Alligator mississippiensis: one gene and its partners. The protein of the gene in region 1 interacts with the protein of each later gene in a pairwise test. Links are inferred from orthologs where the notes say so. Each region holds a gene or a part of one and is shown in the gene's direction. Other genes may lie near its edges. The genes, in order: RBFOX2, HMGA1, RNF8 and ATXN1L.

Region 1 (7,686 bases):
TAAAATCTGCCAATGAAACAAGATTACTTAGCTCAGTGAGATTATGATGCACTCTAAACATGCTTAGCCAAGACGGGCAAGTAGGAGCATGGTGGGAAACAAAGTCTAGTGCTGAGAATTGCAAGGAAAAGCAAAGGGGAAGGAGCGATTTGAGCATGGGAGGCAGGGGGATGGCCTCTGAATAAGAACTTTCTAGAGTTTAAATGCTGCAAGCTGCAAGTGGGAGAGGAACAGTGGGAAAAACAGTGCCCCTCGCCCCTTACAGAAAGGATGTGGACAAATTACAGAGAGTTCAGTGGAGGGCAATGAAAGTGGTTAGGGGGCTGGGACACATGACTTATGAACTGAGGTTGAGGGAACTGGGCTTATTTAGTCTGGAGGAGAGAAGACTGAGGGGGGATTTAATAGCAGCCTTCAACTACCTGAAGAGGGGTTCCTAGGAGGTTGCAACTAGACTTGTTCTCAATGGGTGCTTGTACATATGACAGGGGTTTAGCCCTCAGAGTTTTCCTCTATGCCCCTTAAATCGAAGTGGTGGGTTTTTAATTGAAACCCGCTGCTTCAGTTTTTCCATCGTGTTACAGCAGGGGGCCTGATCATTTTTTTTTTCTTTTTGGAGTTGGAGCCTGCCTGCAGCCAGCAGTGAGCTGCTGAGGCTGGCGCCTCACCTAGCCTCACAGCACTCCCCATCCCACCACCTGAGCCGGCTGGAGGACACCAAACCGGTCTGTTTTTCCACTGTCTGTCGCTGCCACCTCTAAATGCTCATGTGCCGCACTATCCATCATGTTGCCCTCACATCCTGCCCAGACACCAAGTGGCGGGACCTGCTCAGTGAGGGCATGGCTGGGGCACCCCAGTGGCTTAGCCTATACTTTGCCTTCATCCCACAAGCCACTGGGGACCTCAGCTGGTGGCTCCTCCATGGAGCCATCACCACAGGCATATATGTGGTGAGCTTCACAGGCCCTGGCACACATGCAGGAATGATGCATGCCCCTGGCGGCTGGGGGGGCATGATGGCAGCAGGAGTGCGGTGGCAGTAAGCAGGAGCTCCCACAGACGCCAACAACAGTATCATCATAGGGGGGCAGGCGAGCCCCAACCAGACAAACATAGACACTACCAGCAGCATCAGCATTGGCCAGCGGTGATCGCTGACTGCCCACAGATGCCGCTGCCAGTGTCAGCGGTGGGAGTGGTAAGCAGTGACCGCCTGCAGGTGGCGGTCCCCCTTCTTGTAGGGGGTGCACCGCCAAGCTCAGGGGGTGCACGTGCACCCATGTGCACCCTCTATGCGTCACCCCTGCGCACATGACACTCAAGTGCGCCAGGATGCAACACCTCCACCTCCACCTTCTGAACCTCCTCCTGAGGTTCTGGATGAATTTCACCCCCACACCTTTTTATTTTTGGGCACTCCATTTGCAGCCCCACCAAGTCCCGGGACTTCCTGGTCAACCTCCTCCTGGCCCTGGCCAAGTGGGCCCTGTACATAACTAGGAAGGAGGCGCTGGCCAGGAAGGTGCCTGAGGAATGCGGGGCTCCTTTCCTCTCACTCATCCATGCATGTTTCCAGGCAGAGCATCAATGGGCAGCCTCCACCAGCTGCTTGGATGTCTTTGAGGACCAGTGGGTGTGGGATGGGGGGCTCTACTCAGTGTCGTTCCCCCCCGGCGCACTTATTTTCACATTTTGACCCTTGAACCCCTGGTCACGCCTATCCTGCTTTTTCCTCAGTTGTCCCCCCCCCCCCCCCAAATTAAAAAAATTAGTTGTGTCTTTCACCCTTTGGCTTCACACAGTGGGGGCTATTAGTTAGATGGGTGGGCCTTAAGGCCCATGAAGTGGCAGGGGGTGGGGGTGGTGAGTGGCTGGACGCTAGGGGTCCCTTGGCTGTGGGGCCCCCTGTGGCCGCAGGTTTTGCAGGATAGGATGGGCTGGCCCTGACCCGGCCTGCTAGCAGCCCATGGCCCTGGGGTGCACCGCCACCGCGGAGGGAAGGACTAGTTCCCCAACAGATCAGGGGCCACTTGGCCTGCCGGCAGCTCAGCCTCTGGCCACGGGAGAGGCAGGCAGGCTCTGCCAAAATACAAAAAGAGGATTGGGCCATGACTGCAGGGGTGACATGTAGCGGGTGGACGTGGGTGCATGTGCATCCCCTGAGCGTGGTGGTGCACCCCTTACTAAAAGGTGCTGCTAACACTGTCGGTGACACCTGTGGGCAGTCGCTGCTTGCCACCCTGCAGCCGACACCAATGGTGCCATCTGTGGGCGGTTCACAATCCCTGCTGGTCTGTGGGTGGTTGCTGACCCCTGGTCGGCACTCGCCCCCACTCCCCTCCCCTCCTGCCACTGACAGCGCCTGCAGGAGCTTCCCTGCTTACCACCACTGCGCTCCTGCAGCCACCATGCTCCCCCAGCTGCCGGGGGCATGCGTTGTTCATGCATGACTACTTCTGTCTTTGGCAGGCTCCTGTGGCTGGTAAGATGCCTGGGGCCACCTAGGAATGGGCTGGCTTGCCCCTGGGGCAGCGCGGGAAGGCTGCAGGAGAGTGGCTGGGTTAGCTGGCAGCTGGAGAAGGCATCAGGGATGGTGCACAGAGCGCTGGAAGCCCGGGTGAACTGTTAGCTGGCCAGGTGCTGCCCCAGCTCAGAGGTGCCCAATGCAATGCTTCCCTGAGCCCACCCAAGCTTCCAGGGCTTCGTGCACCATCCCCGCCACCTCTTCCAGCTGCCAGCAAACCCAGCTGCCCTCCTGCTGCTGTCCTGCACTGCCCTAGGGACAAACCATCCCATTCCCGGATGGCCCCAGGCATCCTGCCAGCCGGAGGAGCCTGCTGAAAGCAGAAGCAGAGAAGGGCCCGATCCTGTTTTTCTATGGAGCCGTCTTGTTTCTCCTGCAGCTAGGGGGGTGGTGAGTTGACAGCTGGATTGTTGCAATTTGCAATGTTGCAAACTACTACATCCAGATGTAGTTTAGTTTGCAACCATGCAAACTCACTTAACACCCTCAAAAGTCTTGCACATGCCATGTGACGCCATCAAGCCACACAAAGTGACATTTTTGTCATGCGGACATGGTAATGGTGTCATGTATACAAGTGCCCAGTGGTGGCAGACGACAGAGCAAGGAGCAATGGTTTCAAGTTGCAGCAGGGAAGTTTAGGTTAGATATTAAGAAAAACTTTCTCACTAGGAGGGTAGTAAAGCACTGGAACAGGTTACCCAGAGAGGTGGTAGACTCTTCGTCCTTGGAGGTTTTTAAGACCCAGCTAGACAAAGCCTTGGCTGGGATGATCCAGTTGGGGCTGGTCCTGCTTTGAGCAGGGGGTTGGAGTAAATGAGCTCCTGAGGTCCCTGCCAACCCTCATTTTCTACAATTCTATGATTCTAAAAACCCTGGCCGGACCCAGGTCACTGTCCCTGTCTGCGATCACTGTCTGCCACCGTGTGACCCAGTGATGCTGGGCTAGACAGACCTGTGGTCTGACCCAACAAACAGCAGTTCTTATTCCAGAGGCCTTGCGGGGTCAAGTCGAGGGGTGGAGGCTAGGAAGGAGACCTGTTTGTTGGGGCCAGCTCAGCCAAACAGCTTCTGAAGGCTTTATGGCAGGGGGAACAGGGAGCCCAATTTTGCTGTGTAAAGAGTAAGAGGGATTATTTGTAGCATCGTGTGGGGCTGAGCTGGCCCTGGGGGGTGTGGGGGTGTGTGTTGGGAAGGATGTGTTGGGGTGCGCGTGTGGGGCTGTGCTGACCTGGGTGGGGTATGTGCATGCTTGTGTTGGGGTGTGTGTGTAGGGATGTGGGTGCATGCCTATGTGTTGGGGAGGATGAGTGAGGGGCTGCGCTAGCCCAGATGGGGTGTGTGGCTGTTGGGGCACGTGTGAGGGTGAGCTGGCCCATGCGTGTGTGTTGGGGGTTCCTGGGGTCATGAACAAGGCTGGGCGCACAGCGCCGGCGGTGGGAGAGCGGCGGCAAGCTGAAGCTCCCGCAGACGCCGCCGGCACTGTTGGTTGGGTGGTGGTGAGCGCTGACCAGGGGTTGGCGACCACCCGCACACGCTGCTGGCAGTGTCGGCGGCGGCCAGCGGGGAGGGCAGCCCGCCAGCACGTGCCACCGGCGGTGTCAGCGGAGGGGGGGGGGCTGGCAGGCAGCCGACAGTGTTGGCAGCGCCTTTCCGCAGGGGGTGCATGTGCACCCCCTACGCGTGGCCCCTGCCAGGCGTCATTCCCGGCCCCCCCACTGCAAACACACTGAGCGGGGCCGGGCAGCGAGGCTCGGCCGGGCCGGGCCGGGCCGGGCCGGGCCGGGCGAGGCGAGGCGGGGCGGGGCGGGGCGGGGCAGGAGCAGTCCAGCGCCTCACGCCTCCGAGACTGGCCCAGCCGCCGCCGCCATCCCCGCCCAGCCCAGCCCCGCCCGGCCGGCCGAGGCCCCGCCCCCAGGCCGAAGGCTGCCGAGCGGGGGTCGCACCGCCCAGGCGGCGGTTCCGGAGATTGCCGAGGGCCCCGCCACCTTCTCTCGCCCAGTCCGCGAGCCCGATCCCGAACGGCGCGGTGCGGTACGGTGTGGAGCGGCGGTCGGAGCGAGGCGCGTGCTCCCCGACCCCGAGCCCAAGCGCGGCATCGCCCCGGGCAGGCGGGCAGGCAGCGACCGGGCCGGGCCGGGCCGGGCCGGGCCGGGCGGCGGCAGGGATCGCGGCTGTGCAGCGGCGGCCCCCGCAGGGCGCGCGGGGCGGCGGGGTCCGGCGGGCGCGGATGGCGGAGGGCGGCAGCCAGCCCCAGCCGCAGCCTCAGCCGCAGCCCCAGCCGCAGAACCAGCAGCTCCTCCCCGGCGGCGGGGCCCCCAGGGGCATCAAGCGGGAGCCGGAGCCGGAGCAGCCCATGCCTGGCGGGGACGGAGCCGAGAGCGGTCACAGCAAGCGGCTGAGGACGGAGGCGGAGGCGGCCGAGGGCGGCGGCATGCAGGTGCGGGAGCAAAGGGCGGGCGAGCGAGCGGCCCCCACCCGCCGGCCTCTCTCTAGCCGTGGTTTCCCGAGGCCCCCCCCCCCAGGGCGGCGTGTCCTGCCCCTCGGCCCCCACCCGCGGCCCAGAGCCCGGAGCTGGGCACCGCCATAGTCAGGGCTTTAAACCCCCTCCAAAAAAAGTTGATGTCAACTTTACTGCTGGTAAAACACAAACATTGTGGGTGGCCTTGAATTCACACCGGGGTTTTGGACCGCGCCTGCTTCTGTGCTGGCAGTGCGGCCTGCTGCCCCGCAGCCTGGGCAGCCTGACGTTGGGCAGCCTGACGTTGCGCAGCCCCTTGTCAGTGTGCCCAGGGCTGGCTTAAGCAGGTAAGACTTGGGGTCAGACTTGTTGGTGCGTCTTGCCTGGACTCAGCCGGAGCCACCTGCCCTCCAGGTACGCGCTGCCTGCGTGCGCAGCTGACCGGGCAAGCTTTGAGCGGCCTTTGCGAAGTCAGGGCGTCATACGTGTGTCAGGAAGGACGACGCGCAGGCCACTGTCCCCAAGGAGCTGTTTCGCAGCCCTGAATGCTTTGCTTCATAGGAAATTGCCTTGATAGTTAGGCTAAAAGTCCTGCGTCACTCAGCGGCTGAGAGTTTTGGGCTGCTCTCCTCAAACATGTTTTCTGCCACCAAGTCCCTCACCCCCTGGAATTGGGCATCCGCCTAGAACTACGTCTCCCCATATAGCTAGTGAAAGGTGTTTGTTACTGGCCTTGTTTGTTCCTCCACCCGTCCCTAGCCAGTTTTTACTGAGTGACAAGATCAGAGAGTTAGGGGAGCCCATACTAGTTTAGAGCCTGATGGACCGCAAGCTGCTACGTTCAGTGTACGTAGTAAAGTGTACCTACCGCATGGGCAGGATGAGGGGGCAAGGGGGACTGGGCATGTTAGCATCCAGGGCATGTTAGCATCCACTCTGGCACTAATAAAGATGGGTATGAACTCTTGATTTCAGGTGGGCACGTCACTGCAGGAAGAGCACACCAACTGCTACAGCTTCCTTAGCCTGACGAAGGGTTTTTGAACCCGAAAGCTTGCTTAATAACTATTCTCCAACCATTTAGGTTGGTCTAATAAAAGATATCAAATTCACCCAAGGAACCTTGTCTGTCACTGCAGTGAACATTTTTAATTTTTTGAGGGCCCCTTTCCTCTAGTAGTTTTTTTCTGTTTGCTCTTCACTGGGCCTCCCCTTCCTACACTACTGTATTTCTCCCCCTGACTCTCTCTTCTTTATACTGTATTCATGTCTGTATAATGACACCTCTGCCCTGGGGGATGCTGTAGAAGGGGGTAGTTCATATAGTGAACATACATGTTTCTTGTCAGCAGTGACACTTGGCTTGCTCCTGCTCTTGTTTGTTTGCAAATGATATTGAATAGTTGTCGGTGTACCTGGTAACAGAGGAGGAAGGTTTGGGGACATCACATGAGACATTTCCAGGGTTGACAAAGAGAGTGCTACCTCTCATCATTAGATTTGAGGGTAGACAGGTCAGAGAGAAAAGATTCTGTTGTCTTGCCCCAGTGTATTTTGGTCAGTGTTTTGTGCTTTCCTTTTCCAGATGCATTTATTTGAGTCGTTTGGGATTCTGGATATTGTTCTTTTTTCCTTGGCTATATTTAATGTAGCATTATTGTGCTTAGGCAAGTGAGCAGGTGGTCTCAGTGCTTCTTGCGACTGCTTCTTGAACTGAAGGTGTTGGAATGCCTTGAGAACAGTGTGAGCTATTCATCCGGAGTTGCTTCTGGATTTGTGGCTTGTGTTGATTGTCTCTGAAGGGAAAGCCCAGAGCTTTTTCTCCTGACCCTTCTCAAATGCCAGTAGTTACACAACTAGTTTTCTTCACTTTTTTTGTTCTGGCTTCTATTCAGTTACCATGCTGAAGGCTTTTTTGACTACTTTGAAGCAGGAGGGTGTGGAGCTTTTTGTTTGTTTTAGTTCTTCTGTGTGTTTGTTCTTTCCTGCTTGTTTCCCTGTAACCTTCCTTTCTCGCATCACTATATGGTCTGAACTTGGTTTGGAACTTCACGTTCGCTGTTTGCAGTACTCCATGCCCCTGCAAGGGTCACCGGAAGGCACTCTCGTCTTCTCTGTGGCCAAAGTGGTATTTTTGTGAATTCGTAAATCTGCAGGATTGCGCTGGAAAAGCTGCTCAGTGTTGAGGGAAGCTGTGTATATTCTATGGAAGTCTATTGTATGAATGAATGTATGAACTCTGATATACACAGGCAAGGTTCTTTTAGTAGATGTGATGTCTTTTATTAGACCAACTGAGTAGTTGGAAAAAAGTTCTTGGCAAGCTGTTGGGCACTGCCACACTTCTTCAGGCATAGGGAGTCTCTGCTGGTCTGAGATGCTGGAGGAATGAGAGAAGCGAAAAGAGTGGCAGGATGTCAGTGGGAATATAAATAGGTAGAAATTAGAAAGACAAAAGGTAAAGCAGGGGTTGGGGGGGAAGGTCAAAGGGAGACATTACAGTGATAGAATACAAGGTAGGAAAGAGGCTGTCTGTGAAAAAGGAAATAGTGGAAGATCAGGAAGACAGGAATGAGAGAAGCTTAAAAGTGTGACAGGATGTCAGTGAAAATATAAATAGGTAGAAATTAGCAAAAGAAAATTAGAAAAACAAAAAGTTATAGCAGTGAACACTGATAGGAATTTCTTCCAGCTAATA
Region 2 (8,011 bases), on another chromosome or scaffold:
TTGCAAGCAATCAGCTGTAGCTGAGGCTAAAAAACTGTTTGGGAACAGATTTATTTTGACAGTCTTGTCTGGGGGCTGAAGGGGCTCGTTGTTTTGGTGAGATCTGCCTTTCACTGCTCACAGGTTTCATTTCCCAGCTGCTTGCTGATGCTTCCTGAATTGGACCTGTTCTGGTATCTGCCAACTAGGAGGTGGGATTATTCCAAATGCTGATGGCAAACAACTTACCTTCTGAAAGAGCTGGCATTTTAAACCTTGTGAGCAATAAGGGGGAGGAACATTGAGCCTTTAACCTCCGAGGTTGAGCTTGGGGATTTGATTCTGCACACATCTCAATGTAAGGGCTTGCCGGATTGAGTCCCAGGCCAGTATGGAGGAGGGGGGGGGGGGGGCTACAATGGTTTTAAACACTGTTTCTTCAGTGACTGAGCTGTTGGGTTGGAGGCTGTGGCACGAAAGATGCCTGACAGCGGTTATTAGTTGGGCAGCCTCAGTCTTAAGGAGTGAGCAGTAGGGTCCAAGCCCCCTTTCTGTTTCTGCAGCTGCTGGGAAGTGGGGCAAGACAGCAGCCCTTTGGCATGTCTGTGTGTGTTCATGCATGGATGCATGCCCTGCTGGTTTGGGGTCGTTGATGATACTCTGACATAAACCATCCTCTGGTCTAGCTCTGGGCTGAATGCAGGCATGCCTGGATGCAGTCCAACAGCCCATGTTAGGCAGAAGGTCAGTTCTCAACCCCATGAGACAGGACCCCCTCAGGAAACCCTTTTTCAATACAGAAAGAGACTAGTCTTCTGTTTGCAAAGGACTCAGGGAGACCACAACAGAGCAGAGCGGTTTTAAACACTTAAGCATCCCTGCTTGAGGTCTCTGGGCATATCTGCTCTACCACGTTTGCCCACCCCAAAGCACTCTTGAAAGGATCCCAAGGCACCTCAGAGAGCTACTGCACCCCGGTTGAGAATCACTAAGCTAAATAGCTGGCCTCTTTTTGGCTTAATCTATAAAAACGTATGCGTGATAGTACATTAAAGCTTCCAACTTCTGGCGCACAGAGGGCCTGCTGGGCATCTTTGTGAAATCAAGGCCATGGGTCAAACCAAAGGTGCATGGGATGGTCAAAGTTATGGACTGCCTGAGCTTCTTTGGCCCCATCAGCTGGCACCTCAACGAGATGAAAAGAAGTTTTAAGACGTGGGCATAGCGGGCCCGATCTTGCTCTTGGTTGGCGCTGGAGTCACTGCTGGCTTCGGTCGTGTGAAATAACGGTGATAACAGCAGGCCACAAATCCGGCAATCTGGTGTCAGCTCCCCGCTGTCCTGCAAACTCCTACCTGGTGCCAGGGGGATAGAAAGCAGCTTCTTGGTGGAGCCTTGCTCTGACCAGGTCCACGATGACCATCCTTGGAGAGGGCACCGGGAATTGTGCGCGAGCTGCGGCAAAGTGGCATTTTTCAGTCAGCTGAGAAAAGCTGGGGGCAGAGTAGGATTTTAGGAACAGGAGGCCTCACTGGCTGCAGGATTAGGACAGGCAGGTTTTTACTCGACAGGCGTGGCCTGTTCCTGTTAGACCCCTCTCTCTTCCTAGCTTCTGGCAGAATCCACTGAAAAAATAGGAAAGGCTACTGCAGGGTGCAGTTTGCTGTCCACACATTGAAGATCCAGCTGTGGACAGTCCACAGGGTGCAGAGATTTGGGGTAACAGAGGTAGTTGAACCAGAAAATATTATCACTGTAGCTGGGTGGGGTTTTACTGGGAGTCGTGCAAGCAGAGTGAGAAGTTGGCCTTGAGGTTAAGGCCCCTTCTGGGCTCTCTGCATACCCTTGGACGCGTCACCTCTTCCATCTGTGCCTCTGCTTGCCCAGCAGTAGAGCGGCTTGGTTAAAACTACTTGGCTTGTCCTGTCGACTGCCCTCTGCGGGGGATGAACTCACTTCCTGTGGCTTTTGTACAGCACCTAGCAGAGCAGGGCCCTGATCTCAGCAATACGAGTATTATAAAGCAATGGGACCGCAGCACAGAAGCAATGCAGAGAAAGCATGGCCGAGACAGGAAAGGATGCACCGCCCAACACGTGGGTCGACACGTGGAGCAGGGTCCCCCCCAGAAGATAGGCCTGGTAGATAAAGATGCCCTTTACAGTCCTACCTGCCACAGCAAGATTGTTCTCCATGGCACATACGCTTAGAGCTCCACGTGGTGCAGTTGCATCCTTCCCTCCCTTCACCAGAGCTGCACAAAACCGCCCTCAGCCCAAAGCACTGGACAGTACATTAAATCACATATTCCCCCATCTCCCAGTTGGGAGACCACATGCTCCCAACACCGCTTCACCACACCTGAGCCCTCCTCAGCTAGGCAACGTGGTACCCCGCTGCAGCCAGGTTTTCAAAAACACCCTCTATTACTGGGTACTTCAGAGCATCTATGCGGACTCGGTTAGAAAAAAAAGAGCCCAATTCCCCCAGAGGCTCGACCTCAAAATGCATGGAGTCGGAGGCCACTTCTGAAAACTGAGATTTGGGATAAGAGCCAGGTGTGCTTCACAGGGCTCCAGCTCAGACTGGAGCTCAGTGGGGTCCAGACAAGAGGACAGCCACTACGCTGACTCCATCACGGGTGCAAATCAACTAGGAGCAAATATAGGCTGCAAAGTTAGGAGGAGGTTTCTGAGCACCCAACGGTTGAGGCTGTGGAGCAGCTGTAGGAGTATCTAGGGCAAGACACAGCTCTCTTTCAGGGGCAGCAGCTCCATCAGCTCAGGAAAAGGCTTTAATAAGGTGGGTGCCCACGGACACAGGGGATGAACTCCAATCCCTTCCAGCCCCCCATTCCTGTGTGACCGTGGTGAGCTGCTCTCTCCTCTCATTAGCACATCAGACAACAAGAGATCAAAAGCCTTAAGTGTGGAGGAAACCCCAAAGCTCCTTGCACTGCTGCTCCAAATGCAACCACTTCATAATGCAATGCAACAGTGGAGGAAACGGGGTGAAAGCTGGGAGTGGACACCAAGAAGCTCCCTCCCAGGAGATCACACCGATTGGAGGGGCCTGGATCATGCTGTCCAGCGCGGGCGGGCGAGAGGGGACAACTAGGACAGGTCGACGCAGAGCTGGGGGAAAAGGAGCTGGACCATGACAATCCTGTGCATCACCAGGGATCCGGGTTTTGCATTTCCCACGGGAAAACAGAGAAAACCATGGATGGATTTCCTGATTTTAGCAGGGGGAAAAAAAATGGATGTTCCTCTTTTAGCAGAGAAACCTGCGGATTCCCTGCTTTTGCAAAGAGCTCTGCAGGCAAGCAGAGTTGCAGCCTGCAGGCTATTTGCAAAAAGAGCGGGAAAGCCCCAGGCCTGCCTGGAGGAGGAGGGAAGGAGGGGGGCAGGGCCTGAGGCTATCACTCCCCCCAGGCTTGGATCAGGCTCACTTCCCCTTCCTGGAGCCTGGGAAGTAAGTAGGGCTGGGGGCTGCCCCTGGCAGGGGCCCTAGGTGGTGGGTGGGGGTGACTGCCAGGGCTGGGGGAAGAGCCAGCAGGGCAGGGCATTGGTGTGTGGCTGCAGGAGCAAGGAGGTGTTGGGGGAAGCCCCCCATGGAGCACCCACCCATGCCACATGGCCCCAGAAAGGGGGGACCCATGCCCCCCAGATCTGTGTGCAAGGGGCAGAGCGGGTGCACGCTGCCCTCCCCCCCAACCTCTGCAGTGCAGCGTGTGTGACCCTGGACGGCAGGGCACAGCAGGGAGGTGCACGAAAGCTGCCTGCTGCTGCGAGCTCTGCGCTGCCTGGGCCACACCTCCCCTGTGTGCGCAGGAGCAGCGGTGAGGGGCACAACCGTGTGCTACTTCCCCTTGTGCACGCAGGGGAGGTGCGACCCAGGCAGCGCGGAGCTCGCAGCAGCAGGCAGCTTTCGTGCGCCTCCCCGCTGTGCCGTGCCGCACCAGGTTGCACACACTGCGCTGCGAAGGTTGCAGGGGAGGGCAGCAGGGTGGGAAGCACAAGTCTGCAGCGTGCACCCGCCTGCCCCCTACCCCCCTGCACACAGATCTGGAGGGCACGGCCCCCCCTTGACACCCGGGACTGCGCCGGAGCCAGCCCACAGCAGCAGTGGGGGAGCCGGCTCCTGCTGCAGCAGCCATTGCCTTCTGCACGGGGCTGGGGCCCTGGCTCCATAGCCCTGGCACCTGTCCCCCCAGCAGGCCTTTAATTTTAATAACGGAGTTTACAATTTTTTTAAGTCAGAGAATCTGCAATTTTTTTTATCAGAGAAAACCAGGATCCCTGGTGATGACTTGCTCTCCCCTCTCATTAGCACATCAGACAAAAAGAGGAGACCAAAAGCCTTCACAGTCTGAAGGAAACCCCAGACCTTGTCCTACTGCTCCAAGTGTAACTGCTCCATAAGGCAATGCAACAGTGGGGGAAAAGGGGTGCAAACTGAACGTACAAAGGAGGGGACACTTGAGCAGCCCCCTCCCAGGAGGTCATAGCCACTGGAGGGGCCTGGATAACACTGTCCAGCATGGGCAGGCTAGAGGGGACAACCAGGACAGGGTGACACAGGGCTGAGGGAAGGAGCTGAACTATGACAATCCTATTCAACACTCATTCACCAACTGGGCGTAGGACCCTCTATGACTCACTCTTGCCTTCCTTGGGCTTCAGCTCCCTCCCATCAGTGAAGCAGGGATGAGAGTCACCTACACAGCCCAGGTCACAGAGAAAGCATTATATCCATGTCACATAGAAAATGCGGCTGACTCACCCTCCTGTCTTCTCTCTTGCATGACCCAGAAGATAGAAAAATGAGTGAATCCAGTGCAAAATCCAGCCAACCCCTGGCTTCAAAACAGGAGAAGGATGTCTCCGAGAAGAGAGGACGGGGCCGGCCCAGGAAGAAGCCGCAGGTACAGAGAATTTTTTCCTTCCACCCTGCTCTAGAGACTAGGAGAGCTGGGTGCTGGACATCTACAGCGAGGAAAGGCATTTTCATGAGTTAAGTTCAGCCCTGGAAATACCTCTCTTCTTAACCCCCTCCGCATGGTCTGGAGGGTAGGGCACAGGGTTGGGATGTCAAGGCCCCCATATCTCTTCCCAGCTGTACCACTAACATACTCAGTAGCTGACCCCTAACCTACCCATTCCCACAAGCATCATGCTGCAGCTTTACACGCGATCGCACACAGTTCTGGAACAGGAGGTGCAGAGCTGCCTTTGTACAACATTGCAATTATGCTGCTTCCTATGCAAAGCTAGTGGATACAGAGCTAGCTCAGGGGTCTCTGCAGCATGCCTAGCAAAAAGGAAAAAAAAAAAAATCACTAGTATAGAGGGCAAAAAGAGCAATGCACCTTCCACACCTTGCTTGGCCTGCCAGGGCCACGGGGAAAAAGCAAGGCAGTGGGAAGAAGCATTAAGGCATAAACAAGGAACAAGGCAACTCCTTCCCCAAGGATGAGGAAACAGCCTAGGTTGCAGAGCCACTTACTGGTATTAAAGTCACAGTCTGACTCCCACATGTTGGGCTCAGCCTGGCAGAGGTGAACAGCACTCAGCTCTTCTTATGGATACAAACCACAGCTCTGTTTGCTGTACATGGACAGCAAGGACCTGTAGGACTTCTCCCAGGGAAAGAGCCTAGCAGAATTTCCCTACCAAAGCACTCCCTCCTGCTCAGCTGTTATAGCAGCAGCATCTGCCCCAGAAAGAGCCTATCCAGACCAGTAGCACTGTATTGAATTCATCAGTTACTTGGTCCTACAGGCATTTAATTCTGTCCTCACTGCCAGGCCCAAGGGGCTCAAAATGCTCCAGCTAAACACTGCCCCTGATCACAATCTGTGAGACCCTACAGCAGGAGCATTTATCAAGTGAATCCTACCAAACCCATCACTGGCTTAGCTGATCTAGGAGCCATAATGCAGACAGGGCTTCTGTGGGTGAGGTCCTTGTAGTCATGTCAATTAACCCTGCTGAAAAAGCAAATGCAACCAGTGCTGATGGAAGCAGCTGGGTGCTACTCAAGCTCCAGCCAGTTCTGCTGAAGCAGGGGGATTTTGCCTGGGTCTAAATTCCCCAAATACAAGCCCTGAGGCACAGGCTTGTGACTTCATCTCTGTTCTGCCCTGAAACAACCACTTGGGCCGCTCAAGCTGTAATATGGGGAAGGGACCCAGAGGGTTTCTCCCTATTGTGTGGAACGGCAGCAGCTAATTAGCATCCTACCTGCCCCTTCACTTGTGTTCAGGCGGGGATGATTGACTGACACCTTTCCTTTATAAAGCCCATATGTTGCAGGTGTTATTAAGAGACTTGCTGAGGGCTGGGCAGTGAATCAGTGGCCAGGCCCAAAGTGAAACCTGTTCCAGTAGCAGAGCCCTGCCCTGGGCAAGTGGCATCTCCCTGATGTGCTATTGCTGTAGCAATAGCTTAATTACCCTTAGCACAAAACAAGGGAAAGCTGACAGACCCAAAGCACGTATCATGGGAAAGCTGACGTACCCAGAGCATGTATCATGGGAAAGCTCAGAGCCTAGCTCTTATCTCTGTCAGTGGAGTTGCTCTGGATTTACACCAACCAGCCCAGGTCAGAAACTGACCCCTGGTATCTTTTAACCAACCTGAGCCAGCAACTCCCACCTCCTTCCTCTTCCGGCGGCAGGAATATTTGCCTGGCAGGGCTCAGATTGGTGGAAGGAGGCCATCACTCTGCAGGGCTGGGGGCAGGGCTGCCGGTGTTGGATTACTGGTTTTCTAATAGCCGCAGCTATAAACAGCAAGCGACGGGGTATTAGAAACTGTAGCTGCGATGCTCATATCTCCTAGTGGAATGCATAATTCACAACATTTTTATGAGTCTCCCAGCATTAGGGTTTCTTGACCCTGAAGCTGGGGTGATTGATTGCATTTTCTGCAGGGGAAGGGTTTTCTGATGTCTCCAAGATCATTCCCAGAGCTTTGCTTCTTCTGCTCCAAATCTGGGGTGGGGGGGAAGCATTTAGCTTCTTTTGGGCAAGCTGATCTCCTTCCCTCCCTCCACTCCCCTCCAGGTTAGGTCCCTCAATTCAGGTAGCCCCTATCTGATCCGTTCCCCTACCCACTCCAAAGCAGCAGCTGGTGCTTCCTGTCCATAGGTGAGTGGCTCACATTCAGACACATCTAATCTAAGCACCGGCCCAGCCTCACTGTCCGTCCGCTTTAAATTCTAAGGACCGGCCCTTTGAAACTACATGTCCCAGCATGCACGGCTGCAGTGCAAGTACCCTGCAGGTGCTGGCTGGACTCTGCCAGCCCCTCCCTGCAGCAGCTCCCTCTCCGACTGCAGTATCCCAAGGGATTTGGATGGAGCAGGGAGGATGGCTCTCCCGAGTGCATGCTTGCCATCACTTCTAATGACACTGAAGGAGTGGGGAGGCTATGCTCTTCAGTCTCCGTCACCAAGGGCCCGCCTGCTGCGTCTTGCTGGGAACCCCCCATTTCCGGGACAGCTGCTTTTGGGTGGGGAGCGCAGGGAGCTGGGATCTTGCTCTGCTTTGCAGCTTGGCTTTGCTCACTCCTGTCTCTCTTCTCTTTGCTTATCACCATAGATCCGGGCATCCGCTGACAGCCTTGCCCTTTCTCTTCAGCAGGAACCCAGCGAGGCCCCGACCCCCAAGAGACCACGTGGCAGACCAAAGGGGAGCAAAAACAAGGCCACTGCCAAAAGCAGGGTAGGTACCTGTGGGGGAAGAAGGGAAGAGGGAATCGCATGACCTTTCCCCATTTGCTGCCTCCAAGTTGCCATGGTTGCTTATTGATGCTGCTCCTTGGCAACCTGGGGCCTGCTGGTGTCTGGGTACCAAAATGCCCTCCTCCCGAGGAGGCTGGCAATGCCGCAGTTCAGGTTCCACGTTGTGTCTGTCCCTGGAGGACGGCGGGGAAGGGAATCCCCCCACATCAGGCTCCATGGGGAAGCATCTAGCCCAGCCCTGCAGCCAGGCATGTTCTGGACAAGACAGAGGAGCAGCTAGATT
Region 3 (7,494 bases), on another chromosome or scaffold:
CACATGATCAGAGGGCAAGAGAATAGGCCTTATGAAGAGAGGCTGAGAGCCACTGGACTCTTCAGCCTGGAGAAGCGCAGGCTCAGGGGGAACCCGGGGGCTGCTTATAAGTGTATAAGGGGTGTACATCAGGATCTGGGAGAACATCTGTTCACCAGAGCACCCCAAGGAAAAACAAGGACCAACAGTCATAAACTCCTCCAAGACTGTTTTAGGCTGGACATAAGGAAAAAATTTCTTTACTGTCCAAGCCCCCAAGGCCTGGAATAGACTCCCTTCAGAAGTGGTGCAGGCACCTACTCTGGACTCATTCAAGAAACGTTTGGATGCTTATCTTGCTGGGATCCTTTGACCCTAGCTGACTTCCTGCCCCTGGGGCAGGGGGCTGGACTTCATGATCTTCAAGGTCCCTTCCAGCCCTAACATTTATGAAATCTATGAAAGATAGCATATCACACAGCATGAAGGCAGCAAGGCAAGCAAGACAGGCCTTCAGACATCTGTGGAAAACTATCAGCTTCCTAAATGTGACCTAGCAGTGCCTACACCCACTAAGTCAATTGGAGAATCAGTGAGAGTGACTCCCTATTCAATGGGGAGTTTACTGACTAGAGGCACTAGAGCTCAGTTCAAGCCTTCATTTTCCCTTTTTGAACTGAGTGCCTACCCTGCTGGAACCCTTTTCTTATCCAGGGGACAGGTACAGGACAGACCTACCTTCCCCCACACAGTTCATTTGGTCCCACACAGCCTGCAAAACAAGCAACCAAAGGAGGGGGACAGTGGGACAGCTGCTAGGATGGTTTCTGAAGTGTGGATACCTGTTCACCAGGCACCTGAAACCAGTCACCATTACCTTCAGGAAGTCACAGGACCAGAGAGTTGGACTAGATGACGCTTGAGGTGTCTTCTAACTCCCTGCACAGTAGCAGGAAAGAGCTCTGTATAGATAGCATGCCACCCAGTGCTCCCATCGGAGATACATTGTTAAAGCCACAGGTTCACCAAATTTTCCTAGCGTTGCTTGTACTTCTATACAAGGATCACTCCATGCCTCCTATCTGGTGTAACCCAACACCCATCCTTCCCCCCTCCACTCCCCACAAACTGCTCCCCTTTTCTACGTAAGAGTTAACAGAATATTTAATACGTCAGTAGTCTTTTTATACACACACACACACACACACAGTTAGGCAGCTGGTGAAGGTGTTATCATTTTAGACCACCCGCATACGCTCAGCACATTCCCTGGTTAGACACCCATTTTAGCCATGTAGCTCACAACAAAGAATGTAGCCTGTGTTGTGAGAAACATGCAGTCATCAAAGCAGCCAAGAGACTGTATCCGGTACAGTTATGTTTCTGGAGCCATAAGATGCACCTGACACTTTGCAGAGACCCCCTGTCCCTGAGGATTTTACGCTCTAGTGTAGGAGTGGGTAATTATTTTGGCTGGAGGGCTGCTTAGTGAGTTCTGGTGAGCCGTTGAGAGCCACACATGTAAAATTAATGGTGAAGATATCATTTTAACAAACCATAGAAAAAAACCCAAATCACATGCTTAAAAAAAACAACGAACATTATGGAATATTTTAATTTTATTTCAAAGAATAAATTTTGTCCTGATTTGTTTGGGGTTTTTTTTAGCAGTGTACATAGATGTGATTGTGTAATAGCTCAAAATAAAGTGTCTTTCTCAAGGGAACCAAAACCAGTCAGCAGGAAACTAGGCCAAGGGAGGATGCCCCCACCCTCACCAGAGCCCTGCCATCACCCAGCCATCCCCCAAATCACAAGGGAGTTCCTGCCTCAGCATGCACACTGGCACACCCTTTAGGAGCTACTTGAGCCTCAAACCCGCTTGCCTGCCCCTCACTCCTTTCCATCCACACTGGCTCTCTCACAAAGCCTGGGGAAGCCCAGCAGCCCCCTCCAACCCACCCCAACTCCCTGCTAGAGCCATGCAGGCTGCACCCCCACAGCCTGGTGGTTCCCCTTCCCCCAGGAGGAGCCCCAGCATGCTGGGAGCAGCCTCACTTGGGTGGACAGGAAGGAGCTGTGCTGGCTGCAGCCAAGAGGCAGATGGCTGGGCTGGCTTGCAGTGCTGCATGGGGCAAGGGAAGAGGTGGGGACAGAACCAGAAGGCACTGGGTTACCTTTGCCACACGGTCCTGGCACCCAACGGGGTTCCTGCCAGCTCCATGTTGCAGGCAGGCAGGGCACCGCCAGCCCAGCCTGAGCAGGGGTGCCGGGGCCTGACAGTGAGGCAGAGCCAGGCGGGTTGGTGGGCAGGGTTGCTTCGACCTAGCAACATGTGGTGCCACCAGAGGCCGGAGCTGGAGCTGCTACCCACCCACAGACTGGACAGAGTCAATTGGTGGGCTAGATACAGCCCCACAAACCATATTTTGCCTACCTCTGGCTTTAGCATCTCACCTTGAAGTAATCCCCGAAAGACCAGCTCCCCAACATCTCAAAGAAGGTGTGATGGTAAGTGTCTCTGCCCACATCCTCCAGGTCATTATGCTTCCCACCAGCACGCACACACTTCTGGCTGTTCACCACACGCTGGTACTGGGCCAGCTCACTCCGGGGATCTGCCGTGCCCAGGAAGATGGGCTTGAACTAGAACAGCAATGTAAAAGTGTAAACATTTTCAGACGCTGCCTGGTACAATGGACTCCAACTGTGCTGTGGCAACTCTGAACAAGGAGGAAGGCACCTAGGGCAATTAAGGGCTAATTGCAACATAGGCAGATGGGACAGCTCAGTAACTGGCTCTGTTTTATCACAGCTGAAGCACATCAGGGGACTGCTCCAAATATCTGAAGAACAGAGAAAGCACCTGTTTTCTCTTGCTGCAGAGAAGACATGGACCAATGGCTTCAAGTTGCAAGAAAGTGAGTTGAGATTGGACATCCAGAAAAACTTCTTCACTGCAAGACTAGTGAGACAGTGGACCAGACTCCCTACGGAAGCTGTGGACTCCCCATCACTAGAGGTTTTCAAGAGGTTGGACACTGCTCGGGGGTGATCCAGGCATAACTACTATGGGCATTTCCTGTGCTTTGCTGGTTGCCCCCTCCCTCCCCTTGTCTGCTATAACACGTGTACGGGTGCTTTTATGCCTTCCCAGAAGCACTGCGTATTGGCTATAGCTAAGGCTGAAGACTTTGGTCAGGGTGTGCCAATGCTCCCACTGGGACCAAATCCAGAGGTTCCTGGCTAGAGGGTTTTAAACCTCTGCTCAGGGTCAGACCGATCATCCTATCTGGGGTCAGGAAGGGCTTTTACCCCTGTGACCAGACCAGTATGGACTGTGGGGGGTTTTGCCTTCCTCTAGCAGGGGGTGTAGCTATCTAAGATCTCTTGAATGTATACTGGCAACATTTAATAGAAGCAGGATGTTGGCTGCTGTGATTCCCCTGCTTTACCTGGGGCAGGTTAGGGTGCTAGGTCTGTGTTGTGTCAGGGCTGATGGTAGATTCATGCAGAGGCTAGATTATGATTTGTACAGAATGGTTTGGACAGGGATGATCCTACCTCAGGCAGGGGGTTGCACTAGATAACCTCTGGGGTCCGCTTTCAGCCCTACTTCCCTATGACTGTGGAGGGGAACGAGACCTGCAGCCTCCTGGCTGGGGCATGGGAAAGGCACCCCCCAGGCTCAGCCCAGTCCCTGCCCTGCTTGACAACGTGAGTGAAGGGTGGGTGCAGGTGTGGGATACAAGCCTCTTCCAGGTGGCCTCACCAGGGTAGGCCCTGCACAGGATACACCAGCTGCACACACGTGCACGTGTACACGCACTCCCATCCAGACGCACATGGGAACACACATGTACACACACATACATGAACATGGACACACACTTGCACGTGTATATGCACTCCCATCCAGGCACTCTCACACACACGCAGGTGCGCACAAACACACGCATGTGCATGCACGCAGGTAGCCATCCCTGGAAAGGATGCAGACGCGTGTGCTCATACAAACACGCATGCGCACACACCTGGTTCATGCCCGCGTTGACGAACAGCAGCGCGGGGTCCCCGCGGGGCCGCACCGAGGCGGAGGGCAGGCGGCGGTGCCGATGCCGCCCCTGGAAGAAGCTCAGGAAGGCCTCACGCACCTGCCCCGCGGCGGGGCCCGGGCCGGCGGCGGCGGAGCAGCACGGGCGGCGATACCCGCAGCGCCAAGCGCAGCCCCGACCCGCCCCGCGCAAGCCCCGCAACAGCCCCGCCATCTTGCGGACAGCTGCGGGCGCATGCGCGAGCACCGCACTCCCAACAGCCCCTGCCACCGCCGCTCTTCCTAGCTCGGCCATCCATTGTTCCACCTGGCCGCCCCCCTGCGCATGCGCCGCGGCCCCCAGTCGCGCGGAGGCCCCTCCCCACCTCTCCTAGGGGAGCGATTGGTCCTGCCTGCGGGGCGGGATGGCGGAGTGTGGTGGCCGGTGCTGGTGTCTGAGGCGCCTCGGCCAGCACGAGCAGTGGCTGCTGCTGCGGGGCGGCGCTGAGGTGCGCGGGCCAGGGGGGCTTCGACCACCGGGGGAGTGGAGGAGGAAGGGAAGGGAAGGGAAGGGAAGGGAAGGGAAGGGAGGAGTTTTATGTTGATTTGAGGTAGGCTCGCGCTTGCTGTGTCAGGTAGGTGGGAGAGCCAGCCTTTCGCTCCCCTCCCCACCCCACTCCCGGCTTTGGTAGTCTAAGGCCCCTGGTACCTGTTACATTATATTATGTCATTCACCGGTGTGTCGTGCAGCAAATGTTGACCGGCCACATGTGCAAAGTCATGCCATGCTCTGACAGTGACTCTCTGGCTCTGAAGAGAGCCAACCGCTTATGAAGTTAGTGCTTGGAAATGTGTACCAGCTCTGTCGTCGCCACGTCTATGCACCCGTAATTTGTCACCTGTAATTACGCTGCTGGTGGCAGGGGCAGCCCCTCGATTTGAGGATGATTTCTGCTACGACTCATTGATGAGTCTTGAGGTGACCTAAATATAGGGTGCAGTTAACCAGTTAATTGTGTGATCATTACTTTCCACTTGTGGCCGGTCTAAATTTATTGTTTAGTTAACCAGTTGATTGTGTAATATATGTAATGTGTATATATACCAAGGGCCTACGGATGCGTCCAGACAAGCGCACGTGTGCGGTTTGTTGTTCCACAGACCCTTCAGCGGCGCCACATACCACATGCACCACACATACAGATGTTCATAGTACTGCTAATTTGCAGAGGTTTTTTTGAGAACAGGAGATCCCAGTGTCAAAAAAACCCACACCAATAAAAAGTGGAGCAGGGCATGTGGCTGCAGCGTGCGCCACACAAAAACAGAGCCTGGATGATCAGAACCCTACTCTGGCTGCTGGCTAGGCTCCTCTGCACGTATGGATTGCTGCCACTGAAACCCTGGTGGCCCCTCCCGAACATCTAAATGTCGCTGCTGTTTGTCCCCGAGGAAATGCATGTGCATGCTCATCTGGACGCATCCTTAGAGTCCAACCCTTGAGCCATTGATCTGGCCTGCAGGCAGGAGAAGAGAACTAACTGCCAATATTTGTAAGTTTATTGCAATGCATGGTTTTAGGTCTCATAACTTACCTGGGCTACAAATCAAGAAAATCCTTTCTTGAAATCTTAATCAGTGGAAATTTGGATAGGCATGCAGAAGCTCACAGTTTACGATTTGATTTGCTCTTCATACAAAAAGGTTCTACCGTGTTTGTGCGAAGTAGTTCGCCAATCACGCTTACAAACTCAGCGTGGGCTCTGAAAATTAAGCTGGTTTCTTTCTGCCAGGCTCATCTTCATCAGCAAAGCTAATTTCCTTAATGTTACTTCTCTGCAGTCTCCACTGAAGGCACCATGGCTTTTCATAGATATAACGGTAGAATTTGCCCTTGCAGTTGAAATTTAGTTCATTTTCTGATACAGGAGGCAGGCAGGAAACCAGCTGATTCTTCTAGCTGAGGTAACTCTTGAAGTTTAGGAAGAATAGAAACATATGACTTGTCAGGTACTAAAACATGATTTTGAATGCCCAGGGAGATCTCTTGGGCAAGGGAGTATTGTACATGGTTAAATTTCTGGTGTTAATGGCAGCAGTGGCTAGTAGGTACTTGTAGTACAGCAGCAAAGAAAATGCAATCTAAAAATTTAAAGAGCAAAGCTGAATAAATTCCCGATTCTACCTGAAGCGTAATCTCTCAGGTAAGAGGCCCTACAGCAGTGGGTCTCAGCTTTTTTAGACTCAAGGCACTCCTGGATAGTCTTGAGGCACCCCTCCGAAGATGCCAGCTCTTGATCTTCACTCCTTTTTTGACTACAGAAAAATAATAGTTCTGTTGCAAAGAGCTCAGAAAGACCGCAACTAAAGATTTCTGTTTGAAATCTCTGGGTTTATTTTGTGAATCATGTTTGCATACCTAACAGTGCTAACATAGTGTGGCATCCTGTGGCACCCTTGAAAGGATCTCAAGCCACTCCAGGGTGCTGTGGCACCCTGCTTGAGAATCACTGCCTTAGAGGAAGGAGGAGCTTAGAACAGGGGTGGGCAATTATTTCGGGCAGAGGGCCATTTACTGAGTTTTGGCAAGTCATTGAGGGCCACATGACAGGCAGCCGGGGCAGATAAATATTCATTTTCTAAATTTTTTAGGCGCCACGCAGGCCAGATAAAATGGCCTGGTGGGCCGCACGCGGCCCACGCACTGTATTTTGCCCACCCCTCGCTTAGAAGCTACGTGGTTATCTGGAAGCCTCTGAAGCCTTTGTTCTTCTTTATTTTTATGGTCATTGTCTTCAGTATCAGAGGCGGCAAATTGTTTCTTTTTTCCCCAAAAGGCCCAAATACTTCCACTTTTCAAAGGCTTCCATTTACTGTTGGCACTTAACTTTATCAACATGTTACCTTTCTTGTGTTTAAATTTATAAATAGTAATCTTTTTGTTAAGGTCAGTTTACTGCTTTAATTTCCACTGTGCAAAACAAATTCAGTGACCATTTTCCTTGTATTTAAGATCAAAGCATATAGAGCACCCATTCTCAATTATTGGTAATGTCTGTTGTTAAACTTCTTATTTTTAGGTAACTATCGGTCGAGGACTTGGTCTCACCTACCAGCTAGTATCAAAAATCTGCCCGCTGATGATCTCTCGCAACCACTGTGTTTTCAAGCAGAATGAAGAAGGCCAGTGGACAGTCAAAGACAACAAGGTTAGGGTTACTATATTTCCAGGATCAAAAAAGAGAGCATCCCTCTGCAGGGGGGGGGAGGCTGCACGGGTAGCCAGCAGGGGTGTGGGGAGAACAGGGGGAGAGGTATATGATTGAGGGGGAGGGTAGTGATATGCCTGTGCCCTGCCTCTGCCCCTCCCTCCTAAGCCCCTGCTCTCTCAGCACTGCCTGTGTTCCTCACTTCTGACCCAAAGCCCCCTGCCCCCCAGCGCTGCCAGTGCCCCTCACTCCTGATCTGTAGCCCTTTGCCCC
Region 4 (7,473 bases), on another chromosome or scaffold:
CTAAAGCAATCCTGTCTGGAAGGGACAGAGGTTTTGTCACTAAAAAGTCTTTAATAAGAGTTACTCTAATGTTGCAAACACTAAGAACATGAACAGTCGCACTGAAGTCAGTGGACTTGTTAATAGGTATAAAGCTACATATCAGTTTAAGTGTTTAGAGGATTGGGGCTTAGTTTTTAGAGCTTTTGAAGAGGGGCAGAGGTTGGGGTTTTTTTGTTTTTGTTCTTTGCATATAGCAATTTGGTCAGATTCAAGCACATTACTCTATTAGTACAGGCATCTCCTGAAGAAAGCCTCTATGATTTAGTCCATTATAGATTTTAGATTAAAAAAAAAAATCTAAAGATCAATTATCTCACCATGATTTAAATCAGTGATGAATTTTAAAAGTCAAGTGATGTAAATCACCCCACTCAGATCTACATACAACACACTGCACTCCTCACACCAAGAAGAATCAGGCCAGAGCCAGCTCAAAGCCAATGCTAGAACTCCCCAATTTGCTTCAATGGCAGAGGATCAAGCCCTTTGTGGGTTAAAGGAAAGGGCCATGTGGAATATGGCTAGACTGAAGTAAGAGAGCACAGACAGTTTTCTTCCTAAATGCTACTGAAAAATTCAAATGGGCTTGAACAGCAGCAGTAACACATGGATCCAGACAGGGCAAGAACATAATTGTGAACAGAAGCATATCAGGTCCCGAGGACAGCCCACTGGAGCGCTTCAGACACCAGCGTTTCACTTCATTTTCCATAACATTCATCCCCAAAGGGTAAACCACAAACAAAGGTGGGAGGCCATGCAGAATGGCAAATTAAATAAGAAGGGACTGAGAAGTAAGAAAAGTTATCAGAAACAACAGCATGAAATTCAACCTGGAAACAGAGAAGCTAGTCTCCCTTGGGAAAGGTAAAAAAAAATATTTAAATTGAATGGTGAAGTGGTAACAGCAAGAGACCAGAGAGATAGAAAAGAAACAGGAGTTTGAAAGCAATATGGAAATAAAAAGGGTCAATATTGCTTTGGGCTACACAAAGGTATCGGACAGGAAGAGAGTTTAAATATCAAGACAGCATTCTTGCAAGCCAGGCCTTTAACACCCTCACAAAGGAAGCAGCACTCTTCTCCAGCAGCATTAAAAAAAATTGAAGCAGCAAGAGTCTTCTGAAGATAAAACAATTCCAGGTGGCCCAAAAGTGGAGGGGGGGAACCAATATTGTTCTCTATGATCTTTACTGTGCATAAGGCTCAAGTGTCTGCATCAGGACAGGTTGGCTGAACAAGTGAATATTACCCCTTTAGAAGCTAAGCAATGGAGAGCGGAGGGAGATCACCAAGGCCACACCATAAATCAGTGAGACAGGCAGGATTACAACGCCAGAGTACCCACACCTCAGTCACCACAACCATGCTGCCCTTTACTGTTCTCCTCTGTTCCTGCTAATACGATCAACACTCAGCTCTGGTTTCCGATATACAGATGCATCTTTTCAGCTCCAGAGCAGACCCCAGAACCTCTGGGCTGCTGCTCTAGCCCAGCAGAGAAGAACCCTTTTTCAAGGCCAGATGGAAACCCTGGGGCTCACGGTGCACTGCTTAGGCAGCATCACTGCATGCTGTCAGGTGACCTCAGCCAAAGCCCAGGAAGCATGACCTTCAGAGCAGATGTAGCCTTCAACTTCCCCAGTCCATTCAACTTGTGGCCTCTGCCAAACTACAAGCATGGAGCCAATTACTGCCACCTGTAACACAAGGAGGGGCCCACAAGCAACTCAAGCACAACTGTCTGGCACATTCATCAGGTGACCATGACTCTTCACCACTTACCAGCCTCAGCTTGATTTGCTACATGTCCTGCAATTACCAGCACCAAGAATCCTAATCCAATAATGTAGCTGCCGACACAACAGTAGAGCAGACACTTTGCCCTAGAAAGCATCAGAGAAAGATCTAAAATAGGCCACTCCAAACAAGTTTGCCTATTCCTAGCACGGTAAGAAACCGAAGGTCAGTTTCAGGCTATGGAAATCACCAAAACCTCAGAGAGGGCTTAAACAGCCACTCTCAAAGGGAACGTAAGTTTTCCTTGCTAAGTGCCAAAAATGTGTTAAGAAGCTTCTACCACTTAAGGTCCAGAGTGACTTTCCAAATCTAAAACATGAAGAATCAGTGCAGCACCTGCCTAAGTCTGCTACCATCTCTAGGGCCCGGCTGCTCTCCCGAGCTTTGCCAAGGAGTCGTGTGAAAAGTTCCCAGCCTCCCTCGCTGTCTGTGATGTTATGCAGGACCCTGTGCAGGGCGCTCTCCAAAATCAGACTGCCTTCTCTTGCCGTTTGGCTGGCGTAGGCAGAAAGGCAACACTGGCTTTGTTCACTGGAGCAGAAAACCCTCCAAACCAAGAGGAGTTCAGAACAAGGACAGGCTAGCAGAGAAGTCATTCCCACAGCAGCCACCAGCCTCTTGTTAGGGCCAGAGCAAAGTGCTCATTTTCTCCCTTGTACATCCTAGGATGAGGTCTCAAACCTACCAGATACCTAGCAGGAGGAATATACATGTGAGATCCAGGAATCACACCCATGTAGGAAGGTGAACTCCCAGCCTAAAGGAGAAGCAGAGGGGGTCCATGCTGCTCATACTTGGGAGAGCAAAACTTCTCACCTCAGTTGAACTCTCAGGTGTCTGGTAAAGTGAATCCCCCACAGAGAGCAGATGCAAGCAGATAACGAGAAGCGAGACAGGCAGAGAGAGAGAGAGAGAGAAAGACCGTGCACACAACAGGGGGAAAGGAACAGGCCCTGAAAACAGATAAAATAAGCTTCCAGTGTAGCAAGAGAAAACAGATGCTGAAGCCAGGGAAACCAAGTGTGAAACACACCACAGCCAAAAAAGAAAGCAAGTTATTTTGCAGCAATATATTAAATAGAAAAGTGAAATCTGTAACTGCTCTACTGCTGTGAGCTGCAGTGCTGGGGCCCGGGGCGCCACGGAGGAAGAGGCACCGCCAAGTCGGGGAGTAAGCAAAGAAGCATACACCCCAAGTCGCCAGCACCCCCGGGAGACCCGTTTCCACACCGCTGCCTCGCGCGTCGCACAACGGCTACAACCAGCGCCGCCACGTCGGAGCCGGTCTCCAGGAAAAACACGCTCGCTGCCGGCGGCGAAGAGGCTTTTCCCCTGCCAGTGAACGCAAGCCGAAACAGGAAGCGGCAGTCGCTGTAACGCGCGCGGAGCTGGACAAGCTCGAGGGGACGGTGCCACCATCCCAGGATCCCTCGCCGCGGCCGGCCAACGCGACACGAGCGGCCCCACGGCTTCGCCCCTCGGGACGTGTCGCAGGCGCCCGTCTGCACGCGCAAAATCGCCTGTTCGGGAACAGTCGGCCTGCAGACCGCCGCGCGCGGGCCGGAGCGGGACGCGCACGCCGCATGCGAGCCCCGGGGCGAACGCATGGCCCGCTGCGGCCGGCACCCTCCAGTCCGGAGGGACCCCTGCGAGAAGAAATACCTATCGCCCCCGAGACAGACGTGTAAAACCTTCGTCCGCTTCCTGCTGGTGCCGGGAAAACCTGTCCGGGAGGGGACAGGGAAGGCAGCAGAAGCACACGAGGCGCTGGGAAAGCCGAGGACGGGACGGGGAAGGCGGGCGCGGCTGCCAAGCAGAGCAGGGCCGGCGGGGGCCGCGGCGGGACGGGGCGGGGCAGAAGATCGAGACGGGGCGGGGCGGGGCGAACACCGGGGCTCGGGGCGGGGGGGCCGCACTCACCGGGCCGGGCCGGGCGCCTGCAGCGGACGAGGCGGCGGCAGGGCCAGGCGTTCAAAATGGCGGCGCGGCGGCCTCAGCACCGCTACGGCAGGCGGAGGGATCCGCGCCCTCGGGCGGCGCCCGCTCGGCACCCGCCCCTGCTCGCCCCTGGGGACGCCGCCGCAGCCGCCGCGGCCGCCCCGCGCACTCACCTCGGGCGCGGCGGGCGCGTAGCGCGGGCGAGGGCCGGGCCGGGGACTCCTTTTCCCGGCGGAAGCGCCGCGTTCTCTTGTGCGCGGAGGCTGCGCAGCGCCGTGGCAGGCAGTGATGACGTCAGGCGCTGATGGCCGTGGGTGTCGCGGCTGTACCCGTCCGATCGGGCCCCCCGGCCCCGCGCCAAGGTTCCGCCCGCCAGCCGGCCCCGCCCCTTCCTGTCGCCCGCCGCCCACTTCCGTCGCGCCCCGTGCCTTGCCCGCGGCCTCGGGACAGCCCGTGCGGCGCTGCGGGCCTAGGCCAGGTGGCACGAGCCCAGGGCACCGGCGCTGCGCGGAGCCCGCTCGGGCCGCCGCGCGCTGTGTGATGTGCTCGACAGGCCGGCCCGGGCCCGGGCGGTGCCCGGTAGCCATGGCAACACAGAGCCAAACGTCATTCCCGTGCGCCCCAGCCCCCGCGGGGTGAGGCGCTTCCGGCGCGCGGCCTACACGTCATCGCCGCGCGCCGCGCCGCGGGGAGGGGTCGGGTCGGGTCGGGCCGGGCCGGGCCGGGCCGATGGGGGCCGGGGCGGCGGCGCCGGGCGATGGCGGGTGAGTGGCGGGGAGGGGAGCGGGGTCGGGGCCGGGGCCGGGGGGCTCGGCGGCGGCGGCGCTGACGCTGTCCTCCGCCCTCCCCCCGCAGGTGAGGCGCAGGCGGCGGCGCGGAGCGGCGGGGCCCGCGGGCCGGCGGCAGCATGAGGCCGGCGCACGAGCGGAGCCAGGAGTGCCTGCCCCCCAAGAAGCGCGACCTGCCCGGCGCCGCCAGCCACGACGCGGCGCGCCCGCCCCTCGGCGCCGCCAACCACGCGCCGCCCGGCGACGGCCCCGCCTGGGCCCGGGGCGCGGCCGCGCGCAGCCCCGCGCCGCCCCCGCCGCCCTCGCGCTACGGGCCGGCCGGGGAGGGCGCGGGGCCGGGGCCGGGGGCCGAGGCGGGGCCGCCGCTGGAGCCGTACGGGCTGCTGTACAAGGTGGCCGTGCCGCCCGCCGCCTTCCCGCCGCCCGTGGTGAGCATGAGCCCACTGCCGCCCGCCTTCGGCGTGGCCTCGTCGCTGCTGCCGCACGCAGGCGTGCCCTACCCGCCGCTGCACTACGCCCAGCTGCCGCCCGCCTCGCTGCAGCTCGTGGGCCCGCACTACACCGTGCCCTACGCCGTGCCGCCCGGCTTCCTGCCCGGCCCCCTGCTCTCGCCCTCCGCCGGCCTGGGCGCCTCGCACGTGCCCCACTTCGTGCCATACACCTCTCTGCTGACCGAGGAAGCCGCCGCTGCCGCCGCCTCCCCTCCGACTACCTCTCCCGCCCACGCCTTCAGCAAGCCTGCCTCTGCCCTCTCCCCCTCCAGCCAGGTCCAGCACCATGCTGGCGCCCAGCCTTTGGACATAGCCCAGGGGAGGCTTCCTGTTTATTACCACATGTCCCGGCTGCCCCCGGGCTTCTCTGCGTACGAGATGTCTGCTGCCGCTGGAAGCCCGGATCCTCCCGCGCAAGAGAATCAGCTGAATTCGGACGCAGCGTCTGCCAATGGCGGGCAGAGACATCTAGAGCATCACGTGGTGCGGAGGACTGGCGAGGCTGTGGACTGTGCCAGCAGCAAAGCCGAAGCCCAGCTGTGTGGGGCGGCCGTGGAGTGCGTGTTGGATGGACAGTTCCTTTCAGGTTACCAGACTCTGAGAGCAGAGGTCTCTGTGCCAGCTCACAGAAGCACCCCGGATACTGACCTGGAGGTACAGAGGGTGGTTGGGGTGTTGGCCTCTCAGGATTACCCGATTCTGGCAGCCCAGAAGAAGGATGGCCTGAGCCCTTTAAACCTTTGCCATAACATCCCTGATCAGCAAGGGGAGTCTGGGGACTTGTGGAGGAGTCCCATGGAGGCGGCTGCTGCTGCTGCAGAGAAGAGCCAGCCCAGGAGCCCATATGCAATGTCCCCCGAGGAGCCAGCCAGATACAGACAGCTAACCAAAGGAATGGCGATAGCCAACGGCAAGCCGGTTTTAGTGCCGGTCGGGTCCGAGCCCATCAGGTCTTCCTCCTCAGAGACCCTGATACGGCAGAGTCCCAACACACTGGCCCGGGGGAACATGCTGGACAAGGATTTGGGCCCGGTGCAGCCCCCCAGCTCCTCCCATCTGCCTTCCCATTTCATGAAAGGAGCCATCATCCAACTGGCCACCGGAGAGCTGAAGCGGGTGGAAGATCTGCAGACCCAGGACTTTGTGCGCAGTGCAGAGGTGAGCGGGGGCCTGAAGATCGACTCCAGCACAGTCGTTGATATCCAGGAGAGCCAATGGCCTGGGTTTGTCATGCTGCATTTTGTAGTGGGGGAGCAGCAGAGCAAAGTGAGCATCGACGTGCCCCCAGAGCACCCCTTCTTCGTGTATGGCCAGGGCTGGTCCTCCTGCAGCCCGGCGCGGACTGCCCAGCTCTTCGCCCTGCCCTGCCACAGGCTGCAGGTGGGGGATGTCTGCATCTCCATCAGCTTGCAGAACATGAATGGCAACTCTGCTTCTCAGGCGACCTGCCCTCCCGCGACCCAGCTTGTGCCTGCCAGGGAGCGAGCTGACAGAATGGTGCAGGGGTCCAGAGAGCACCCCCCTGCACCTCTGCACAGTGAGAGGAAGAGCCAGGCAGAAAGGGACAGCGCTGCCCACGCTGCCTGTGCGGAGCCCTCCCAGCCTGAGCCGGGTGGCCAGCACAGCTGGACAGCCCCCAACTTCCAAAGATGTACCACGCAGGGGGAGGAGCCCCGGCCATCCCTGCTCCGTCCCTCCTTCATCCCCCAGGAAGTGAAGCTGTCCATTGAAGGGCGCTCGAATGCCGGGAAGTAACGCTGCGAGGCCCTCACCTGGGTCATGCCCCTGGCTGAGCCCCCCTTTGTCAGGTGGAGATTTTGCACAGACTGAGCGACGGGTTGACCGGCGAGGCTGCTGTCTGCCTGCAGAGCTGGTTCGGTTCCTGTTCAGTCACTGATCAGATCCTCTCCTGGAATCCAGAGGGCTCCAGTGCCTCAGGGAGCAGCAGCAACAGGCGAGTTAGGGATGGAGGATGGGGGATGTGGTCATGGCTGTGTGGCCACAAGCATTCCAGAGCTCGGGGCTCTCGCACGCCCCTGAGTGCCTGAGCGTCCTGCAGGCCGGGGATGGAGCACTCGGGGGTGGGGGCGGGAGGGGCGGACCCAGGAAGCCACAGCCCAAGGTAGCAGATACAGTATCGGAAGTGTTTGTTCCTCTCTATGGTGGTGGGGAGCTGGGTCCCTGCGGGGGCCAGGGGCACCGCTCCCAGCCTCCCCACTTTTCACACATGCACTTTAAAAGGACACTTCGTCACATGTTGAGCTCTTGGGGTGGGGGCAGGTGTTTCTCCGACAGCCTCTCCCTGACATGTCTCCTCCACTCAGTCCCATGGGACTTTCTGCTAGCAAAACCCCTGCAAGCGTTGAAGGAAACCAGAGAGGGAGGGCCAGGTTGGGGAGTGGGGTGTGGGCAAG

Evidence for each region.
Region 2: the proteins of RBFOX2 (region 1) and HMGA1 interact in a two-hybrid assay, tested with the Homo sapiens proteins (2 studies listed by BioGRID and IntAct, with this or other methods). The link is inferred for Alligator mississippiensis from reciprocal best matches to the Homo sapiens genes RBFOX2 and HMGA1.
Region 3: the proteins of RBFOX2 (region 1) and RNF8 interact in binary tests that used the Homo sapiens proteins (3 or more experiments, as listed by UniProt). The two-hybrid records come from large-scale screens. The link is inferred for Alligator mississippiensis from reciprocal best matches to the Homo sapiens genes RBFOX2 and RNF8.
Region 4: the proteins of RBFOX2 (region 1) and ATXN1L interact in binary tests that used the Homo sapiens proteins (3 or more experiments, as listed by UniProt). The link is inferred for Alligator mississippiensis from reciprocal best matches to the Homo sapiens genes RBFOX2 and ATXN1L.

Annotation. Positions count from the first base shown.
Region 1 is NC_081827.1:101,111,813-101,119,498, forward strand, and holds the start of RBFOX2 (RNA binding protein fox-1 homolog 2), read left to right. Parts: upstream 1-4,474; 5' UTR 4,475-4,757; coding exon 4,758-4,967; intron 4,968-7,686. UniProt on the Homo sapiens protein: RNA-binding protein that regulates alternative splicing events by binding to 5'-UGCAUGU-3' elements. Prevents binding of U2AF2 to the 3'-splice site.
Region 2 is NC_081837.1:37,338,072-37,346,082, reverse strand, and holds the start of HMGA1 (high mobility group protein HMG-I/HMG-Y), read left to right. Parts: upstream 1-4,804; coding exon 4,805-4,906; exon of another isoform or gene 4,907-5,292; intron 5,293-5,487; exon of another isoform or gene 5,488-6,634; intron 6,635-7,585; coding exon 7,586-7,708; intron 7,709-8,011. UniProt on the Homo sapiens protein: HMG-I/Y bind preferentially to the minor groove of A+T rich regions in double-stranded DNA. It is suggested that these proteins could function in nucleosome phasing and in the 3'-end processing of mRNA transcripts.
Region 3 is NC_081824.1:169,948,813-169,956,306, forward strand, and holds the start of RNF8 (E3 ubiquitin-protein ligase RNF8), read left to right. Parts: upstream 1-4,313; 5' UTR 4,314-4,437; coding exon 4,438-4,521; intron 4,522-7,092; coding exon 7,093-7,221; intron 7,222-7,494. Other genes in the region: AARS2 (alanine--tRNA ligase, mitochondrial), read right to left, coding at 2,437-2,625, 4,014-4,247. UniProt on the Homo sapiens protein: E3 ubiquitin-protein ligase that plays a key role in DNA damage signaling via 2 distinct roles: by mediating the 'Lys-63'-linked ubiquitination of histones H2A and H2AX and promoting the recruitment of DNA repair proteins at double-strand breaks (DSBs) sites, and by catalyzing 'Lys-48'-linked ubiquitination to remove target proteins from DNA damage sites.
Region 4 is NC_081833.1:77,569,783-77,577,255, reverse strand, and holds the start of ATXN1L (ataxin-1-like), read left to right. Parts: upstream 1-4,334; 5' UTR 4,335-4,544; intron 4,545-4,635; 5' UTR 4,636-4,687; coding exon 4,688-6,814; 3' UTR 6,815-7,473. UniProt on the Homo sapiens protein: Chromatin-binding factor that repress Notch signaling in the absence of Notch intracellular domain by acting as a CBF1 corepressor. Binds to the HEY promoter and might assist, along with NCOR2, RBPJ-mediated repression.